Linked DNA regions of Bombyx mori. The protein of the gene in region 2 binds, or shares a complex with, the protein of the main gene of each other region. Links are inferred from orthologs where the notes say so. Each region holds a gene or a part of one and is shown on either strand. Other genes may lie near its edges. The genes, in order: DNA replication complex GINS protein PSF1 and DNA replication licensing factor Mcm3.

Region 1 (4,242 bases), on a different chromosome or scaffold from region 2:
ACGACACGAGAACCCTCTCATCGTGGCCGCCAGTAACTACATTCCCGATCCTGCGGACAGAATGGAAAGCAGTCGACGTCGCCCAAAACACGTCATCTCGGATCGTCCCGATCCACTAACGGTGCTTTTAGGTACTTCAAGCACCGGTCACCGTTCTCGTCGAACCCGTCGAAGGGCTCGACGAGTAAATTAACTCCCAGACACAGCCCACTGAGTTTCTCGCCGTATCTTCTCAGTGGGTCGCGTTTCCGATCCGGTGGTAGATTCTGCGAAGCACGGCTCTTGCTAGGGTTCGTGTTAGCAACGTCATCAGGTTTGAGCCCTCAAGGCTACCATCATAGGTAGGAAAAAAAAAAAAAAAAAACTGCGCTGTATCTTTTTTGAGAAAATAGTTTTTTTCAATGCCAGCTCATTAACAGGGCACGTAAATATCAAAAACGCAAATGCTGCCACACACCTAAACAAAAGTTCTAAGTCTGAAGTCTGATATTAGGAGACCTCGGGGCTGATGATGATATTGATTGTTGCATCATTTGATTTGACTACAGCAAGCATTATATTCTTTAGGCCACTATGACTGCTCTTTCACCCATCAGGGATAGTAAAAAAAATGGACACACACTTGCTTTATTAGGAGGTGCAAATCTAATCAAGTCAAATCACTAAGCTTATGGTAAAAATAATCTTCTCATAAAATTTATTTCCATACAGACATCAAACATTATTTTTCACAATATTATTTAAAACATAAAATGGTCAAAAATTCACTATTGATAAAATAAATTCACATTATTTGTTTCAGAATACCCTGTCGTATTAAAGTCTGACATTCCGAAGTAGGAAGATAATGTCTGCTATTCTTCTTAAGCATAACCACATCACCATCTTCAAGTTCTAATTTACCATAATCCACAACACAAAGCACTTCGATGAACAATGATTTAGGGGGCTTTAAATTTTCAGTCAAGTCTATGCCACTGTATCCTATATCTTGGCCTAAAGATCTCATATACAAAGCAAGATTTCCAGAGTATTTTGAAAACCATTGATATTCATCATCAGAAAGCAATTCTCTGATATCTGGAGGTAGTACTGCACCAAATTCCCAACGTAATGTCTTAATTTTTTTCATTCTGTTGTAGAGATAGGCTAATATACACCTTTTATTGCGTTCAAGGGCAGAATGTCTTACTTGAACTGTGGTCCACAATGATCTGTTTTCTGTTGTAGCATTACTAAAAATAGTAATTCAATTAATACAAGCGGTAATCATAAAACAGTTTGTTGTTATCTTCTTCTTCTATAAATGAACTTGATGAGCAATTGAACTACATATTTTTGAAATTTAAATTAAAATGGACTAATAGCAGGTAACCTTATTACAACACCACATGAGACTCAAGTGCATGAAAATATTAACCCCTTTGCACTAAATGACGTTTTCGTTTGTGCGGACCAGCAACTCAGACCGATTTTGGCCAAATTAGAGAAACATTTTAAAAGTACTTTAAGATCAACAAACAAACACACATTTCTCTATTTTTTTTATATACCAAAAACAATAATTAGTACTATTATTAAAAAACAACTACACTGTAAAAAAACTCAATAAGCTGAGCTAAGATTTGGTTAGAAATTGAAGCCAAGCCTGTCCACTAAAGTATTTTTAAGCAGATACATAACCGTAGTGCTGTAACAAATCTGCTGGGTGAGATATCTGTGCTACTCAAGCACAACCAGTAAAGCTATCAAATCTGCTGGGCAAGTTATCCAAACTGCTTGAATGTGAAGAGTTATAAAACAAAAAAGTCATAAAACTTTTTTTTGCATAATTGGGTGAGAGATCTCAGGGCTACCTCAAATCCCATGAAGCTAGCATAACCCCTCGAGGTTAGTAGCAATAGATTGACAAAAAAAAACAAAAATAGACCTTCCTGGAGTTACAAGGTTACCTGAGCACTTTTGCATCACATGAAACAGAATAGGAGGTTACAGAATAGAAGTGATCATAGCAAATCTTGCATATTGAACAATAACTACTTGCAGTTATATTAGTAGAAAACCAGTGACTTACGCATCATTCATGTTCAATTTAAATAATAAATGCATTTCTTCTATTATTTGGCGTATTTTTTCATCCTGTAACATGTGAAATACTATGTACTTTATAAGATTAAAAGACACAAAAATAATAATAGGCGGTGCTATAACAATAATTTAATATACTTGTCACTTCTAAATGGATTTCTGACTTTATAGTGCATATGCATAGACAAACAGAATAGATGACAACCGGATAAAATCTTGGTTTCGGTATTAAATAGTAACTTAAAGCTTTCATTAGATATAACAAGTTTATTCTAATTCCAATCCCATACCTAGATGGGCACATCCAACTTACATTATATTGATCTATTGTGTCAGGATTTCTATCTACTTCTTTAATTAGTTCTATAACTTTTTCTGCGAACATTGTGTGTTACTTATTTACTTAACAATGAGAGAGATAACAAACAAAATACTTTAATAATTTAGATAAAAACATTTTTGGCATTGGCGCGAAAGTTGTTATTAATTTGATGAGTGACAGCTCAAGACTGTGACAGATAGTAAATTTGACATTTTATGATCGGATACGCATCATTTTTGGATGAGTTCGAAAATCACAGAAGCCTTGATCTTTAAATCTATAATACCAAAACCTAATCTTAAGATATTAAAATTTTCTAGAAGTGGGAGCTAAGTCATACAAGTAACTTTTTACAGATAATCACTTAGTAGCAATACAGCCAATAATAATCTCACTCTCCTTATCGGGTCGACCATCAGATCCAATTACTCTTGCAAAGACGCTTTCAACTTTAACATTAGGAGCAGACTTAGGGACCCTGATAACCGTACTCGTCGAACTCAACAAAGTGTTCGACGTGCAAACTAACCTCCCGGTGCCACCTCTGGGACATGATGATTTCATCATTCCCGCTGAATTGCGCCTCCTTATCAAGCGGATAAAGAGGCGCAAGGCATTGTGTGAGGACGGTATTCTCACCCTTGCATTTTTCCACTTTCTAGAATCAGTCGTGTCTTTTAAGACACGGCTGTTTAATTACATTCTGTCTACAGGATATTTCCCGGGAATTTAGAAGGACAGAAGACAGCCCTCCAATTATCGTCCGATTACCCTGTTGTCGTATGTGGGCAAGTTGTTCGAGCGGCTGCTGGTGAGAAGAGTGTCTCCGCACATCCTTCTCAGACCCGAGCAATTCTGGATACGTAGCAGTCACTCAACAACGCTGCAATTGGTCTGCGTTATGCACCTTTTGACGGTCCAACGCACGCCAGTACATGGCGGCAGTATTTCTCGATTTCGAGAAGGCCTTCAACCGTGTCTGGCGTGCGGGGCTTATCTGCAAGTTGGTGCAGAACACGGACTTCCAGCACGCCTACGTGCGACTACTGGGGTCGTACCTGGAGGGCAGAACTCTTTTTGTCGCGGTCAAGAGCGCTAAATCGTGGATGCGCCCAGCCACAGCTGGGGTTCCCCAAGGAGGTATCCTGTCACCGATCCTCTACGCTCTCTACACCAACGACATTCCCAATGTCGTTACGTTGTGTTAACACACAGAAATAATAAGCAGTAACATATCTATGACGGCGTTAACGTTACTTCTGTTATACAGCACGTGCAATAGGAGTGAGTCATACACAAGCCAGGTGCGCCGGCCGTGTCACTCCACTCGTAAAACAGCACGTGCAACAGGAGTGACTCATAGATAAGCCAGGTGCCCCGGCCGACTGCGTTTGCTCGGTGCACTTACTATATCCTTGTTACATTGTGTGATTAAGTGACTGTTTTACGTACTGGTTAAGGTTGGATAAATGTTAAAGTGAATTAAGTTATCATATTGTTGATTAAATCAGGAATCAAAAAGTGACTTCGTTTTACTGGGTGTTCAACAAGATAATATCCCCCGCCCTAACCCCCCCCCCCCCTCCCCCTCCCACATAATACGCAATGGAATTGTTCAATGAGTAACGTATGTTCGTCTGCTTTTTGTGGCCACAATACCAAACAATTACAACTTCTAGTTTTGTTGATCCGAAGAGTCGATAATTGTAAAATGAAAGAATAAACACCAAATGGAAATTTTAAGTTCTTTCTATTGGGTCCACAGCTGTCTATAAAGTTTACTTATGGACGAGAGTTTTACGTGATAACGTCGTAAAGACTCCGTATGCTTT
Region 2 (4,516 bases):
GGACTTTGAGCACTATATACTGGAGTGGTCCTTTAAAATGTACAGCACCAGACACATATTGATGACAATTCAAAAGAAACAAAACCTAATTAAATTCTTATAATGATCCTTTTCAAATGTATATTTCATAGCGGAAGGTAGCGGCTTGGCTCTGCCCCTGGCATTGCTGAAGTCCATGGGCGACGGTAACCACTCACCATCAGGTGGGCCGTATGCTCGTCTGCCTACAAAGGCAATAAAAAAAATGTATATCAAAAGGTAACTTCTCTTCATACCTGAATGTTCCAGCAGTAAAGCTTCCCTGCTTATTGGGCAGGCATCTATAGTTCCCTACAATCTGCACCCGGTCTCCTGGTTTACATTTGTCTACTAGATCATCATCACATATAATATCTACACTTCTTGGCAGTTGCCCAGCTGGTGCCCGTTCGGGCATCTCTTGAACGGTAAGGGTCTGATGATCTTTGTACCGCGAAAGTCCATATTCAGTTTCTAGAGGATTGCCTTCATCATCCTATGAACATACGAGTTACACTATAAATGTTACTCATAAACTTCAGACACAAATGGCAAAATATCACCAACCTGTCTATTTTTACTATGACACAGTTTGAAAGGTGGACCGGACCACACAGCTATTCTACTATTAAACTGAGATTTAGAGCTCATGGCTCAAGGTAGGTGATGATATTTTGTTGATGTCTATGGGCTCCAGGTTAAATCCAGGTGGGCTGTGAGTTTGTCCACCCATTTAAGATATAAAAAGTTAAATTTTTTTGACTACAATTATAGAAGTGCTAATGTATCTATAAATCGTAAGATAACTTTAAAATTAGTAACTTATTATGTCATCCAATATAGCAAAAGAATCAGTTAAAATTATGCTTATCTTTACCTATTTTGAAAACATTTAAAATAAGTTTAGTTCACAGATTCTGATCATAATGTGTCGTGAAAATAAGTAGTCGAAGTAGCAAAATAAATAACAAATGTGTAGTAGCTGTCTACGACAACTGGCAAAATACAGAGAAAATACCACATTGTGCTGAAGTAGTCTACTACTTCAGCACAGAGTAGAAGGTTTTTTTAGAAGGTAGTCTAATGAGATCTTTATATTTCACTAACAATTTCTTGTTATTCTATTCTAATTTTAATTAATGACTAAACTATGGACCTTAGTAGGGTATACAGCAGAGGTGGGAAATGCTTCAAATGAAGTTAGATCGGTATATTTCCTTTCCATCACTTTTTTGGTAACTGGACAATAATGTACACTTCTGACCACCTTAGGACGAACCAATGATACTCTAGTCACTATGCCTTCCACACAGATTAGATTTCCGAGGTACCTGGAAATATTACAACAATTAGATAAGTGTGAGAAAAACAAATAATATTCTCAATCAATTCTAATCTGACTAATATCTAAAGCACAATACATTGTAACTTATCCTGAATCTTTCTTTTATGCAATTTTTTGTAAATAAATCTAGACTCATTTTGTACGTTTGAGCTTATTCAGCTACTTTAGACCTCTGTTTTTGTATATGATCATAAAAAAAACGCTTACAGCTCAAATATTTATGGAAGATTGTAAATTTTCAGTAGTATTCAGCAGTAAATTTCTTGTTCCATCTCCACATGTATAGTATGCACTGAATCTTAAAACTATATAATTATGAAATATTTTTTTCATTGAATCTAGTACTTTTATATATATTCAAACAGATTAATTTTGCACACAGAAAACAAACAAAAATAAATTTTAGGTGAACCCATCACATATCATAAAACAAACTTAGTTTTAACCTTACAAGCTCGTTAATTATAGCACATCTTAAAATTAAAATGACATAATTCAGCAGTAGAACTTTAATAAGCATGTTTATAAGTAATAACCCACCTAGATGTCAAACTTCGGGGTGTAACATGTTTGTTACCAAAACTTCCTGAGAATGCCACAAAAAACTCCTCTTGAATTTTAGCATATGTAGGGTCTATCGAAGACACATATTCTTTTAAAGCCTTTTGGAATGCTATCTGTTCTTCAAAGGCATTCTCTAGTAAATTCTTGGCACGTTCAGGACTTTTACGCCTTAAGTCATTGATGCTGACTAAGAGGCGCTTTGATTTATCTTCTATCATCTGTTTCACTTTTTCCATATAAATTTCTTGATCTTCCTGGACATTTAAAATTAATTTATATATTAACAAATTACAGAGAAGCTGTCAACGTGTCGTAAATTGATTATGATAACTTAGCAATATTGAAATCCACAAAAAATATAAAACAAGAAACGGAAAAAAATAGAATAAATCAGTTTCTTCTATAATTTCAAAGCACTTCACTTATGATTATTTAAAATCATATCTATAAAGATGAGTGCCTCCATTTTTAATGGGACAGGAGGTTGAAATACTTCATTATTTTATTTCAGATATTAAAACTTATTGTAACCAGAAAAAAATTTAAAGCTTTCATTTACTTCAATACCTAATATCAAAAAATAATTAACTCACACCATCGTCAAGAAATTCGAGGTACTCCCTTTGTAAGTCTCTCAAACGTTGATCGAAATCACCTTCCTCCATATTGAACTTAGCTTTAAAAATTGTTATATTTTGTTTCAGTTGTTTTAACACTTAAAGTTAACCAAAATCAAAAAGTCGTTGCGTATTGTTGAATTTATTTTGATTGAGATGAGAGTTGTAGAGTCCAATATTTCTCACGATCACTGCTATGAATAGCGTTAGAATATTATGGTTTATTTCAAACTTTAATAGAAAACTTTAACAATTACACAAATAAAATCTTATCTAAATTATAACTATCACAAAAAGTTAAATCTAAAAAATTTCAGCAGTTGGCGCGATTTCTCGCAAATAGCCAATGCGAACTAGGCTTGTTGAAAAAATATCGATACATCGATATATCGATATAAATTTTTTAAATTATAGTTATTTTTGAGCTTTATTTAATACTTCAATATATATCGATCGATATAAAATTCCAAGTATCGAAAAGGTATAAAAGTCGATATAATAAAACAATGTTTTCAAGACATAGCATAAAAATATAATAATGATAGATGGTAAAAATGACAATGTGTTCGAAGTATATTTCAAATAATGGAATATGGAAAAGAAGGTTACAACATTCCTCCCCATCTACATCTCGTTGATCAGACGGCGGGGTGCCTGTATACGTCGATTACTTCGACGCGCAGCAAATGGCACAGGAGTGGAGACCGGAGCAGGTGAGGAGTATAACTTCGAATGCTGTGAAGGTGAATTTGGAGAAATTTGTACATTTGTAGGTGACTGCGGTGTAGGTAATGGTACTGCTGCTGAATTCTTGTTTTTAGTTAGCCTTTCGTTAATTGTTGTTTCCATTCCAATGTCTGGAGAAGCAGTCGCCGGCAGCATAGAAGAATGCGCCCTTTCATTCCTCGGGGTTTCTGAGGTGGAGGACTCGCGTGGCCTGATGTGATCAGCGTGTCTTCGTTTTTCTAGTCCTCCTGGTGTTGAAACAATATATGAATATTTATGTTTTCGGGATGTAATTACCGCTGGTTCCCATATTTTATCATTGCGTGTTTTAATATATACTTGGTCACTTGGTCGGTAACTCGGTGATGTGGTACGAATGTTTTCTTTTACTTGTAAATACTGCATTAATCTTCTTTTGTCTGGCCGAATGTTGGAAAGTATGCAGTTCAATTGTCGTCCAAACATCATCTCAGCTGGAGATTTACCAGTGGACGAGTGCGGAGTGTTTCTGTATGTAAACAAAAATTCTAATAGTCGGCGCTCGAGATTTGTGTTGTCTACCGATGCCATTCTATTTTTGAATGTTCTGACTAAACGTTGTGCCAGCCCATTTGTCCGAGGATGATATGGAGATGATGTGACATGTAAAATAGATTGTTTTGTGCAATATTCTTTAAATTCATAAGATGTAAATTGAGGTCCATTATCGGATATAATCATTTTTGGTAAGCCAAATGTACAAAATATGTTATCTAATGTAAGACAAAGTGATCTGGTGTTGATGTGTTTCATCGGTCGTATTTCCACCCATTTGGAGAGAGCGTCGCACAATACCAACCAATACGATCCTTCGAACGGTCCAGCAAAGTCGATATGGATTCTCTCCCATACTTCTTCTGGTATGGACCAGGAAAATACAGGAAGTTCAGGATTACAAGGGCGGTTCTGTTGGCATCTGGTACATTTCTTGACAAATAATTCTATGTCTTCGTCAAGGTTAGGCCACCAAACATAGTAACGTGAAAGTGCTTTCATAGCAGAAATGCCAGGATGTCCTCGATGAAGGTATGTAAGAATGGCTTTTCGGAGTGCTGTAGGTATAACGATGCGTCCTTGCCTCACAAGTATCTTATTCTCAACAGATAATTCAGTCCGGTTTCTGTAGAATGGTTTCATTTCTGGATTGTAATCTGATTCTCTCCAGCCGGTTTTTAAATTTTGACAAACTTTTGTGAGTATATGATCC

The links.
Region 1: DNA replication licensing factor Mcm3 (region 2) and DNA replication complex GINS protein PSF1 share a complex: the UniProt entries of both Homo sapiens proteins name them as parts of the CMG helicase complex. The link is inferred for Bombyx mori from reciprocal best matches to the Homo sapiens genes MCM3 and GINS1.

What each region holds. Positions count from the first base shown.
Region 1 is NC_085118.1:17,160,887-17,165,128, forward strand, and holds DNA replication complex GINS protein PSF1, read right to left. Parts: upstream 2,604-4,242; 5' UTR 2,474-2,603; coding exon 2,402-2,473; intron 2,140-2,401; coding exon 2,075-2,139; intron 1,236-2,074; coding exon 785-1,235; 3' UTR 669-784; downstream 1-668. UniProt on the Homo sapiens protein: Required for correct functioning of the GINS complex, a complex that plays an essential role in the initiation of DNA replication, and progression of DNA replication forks.
Region 2 is NC_085112.1:2,202,847-2,207,362, reverse strand, and holds the start of DNA replication licensing factor Mcm3, read right to left. Parts: upstream 2,915-4,516; 5' UTR 2,593-2,914; coding exon 2,521-2,592; intron 2,182-2,520; coding exon 1,904-2,181; intron 1,350-1,903; coding exon 1,175-1,349; intron 515-1,174; coding exon 276-514; intron 1-275. UniProt on the Homo sapiens protein: Acts as a component of the MCM2-7 complex (MCM complex) which is the replicative helicase essential for 'once per cell cycle' DNA replication initiation and elongation in eukaryotic cells.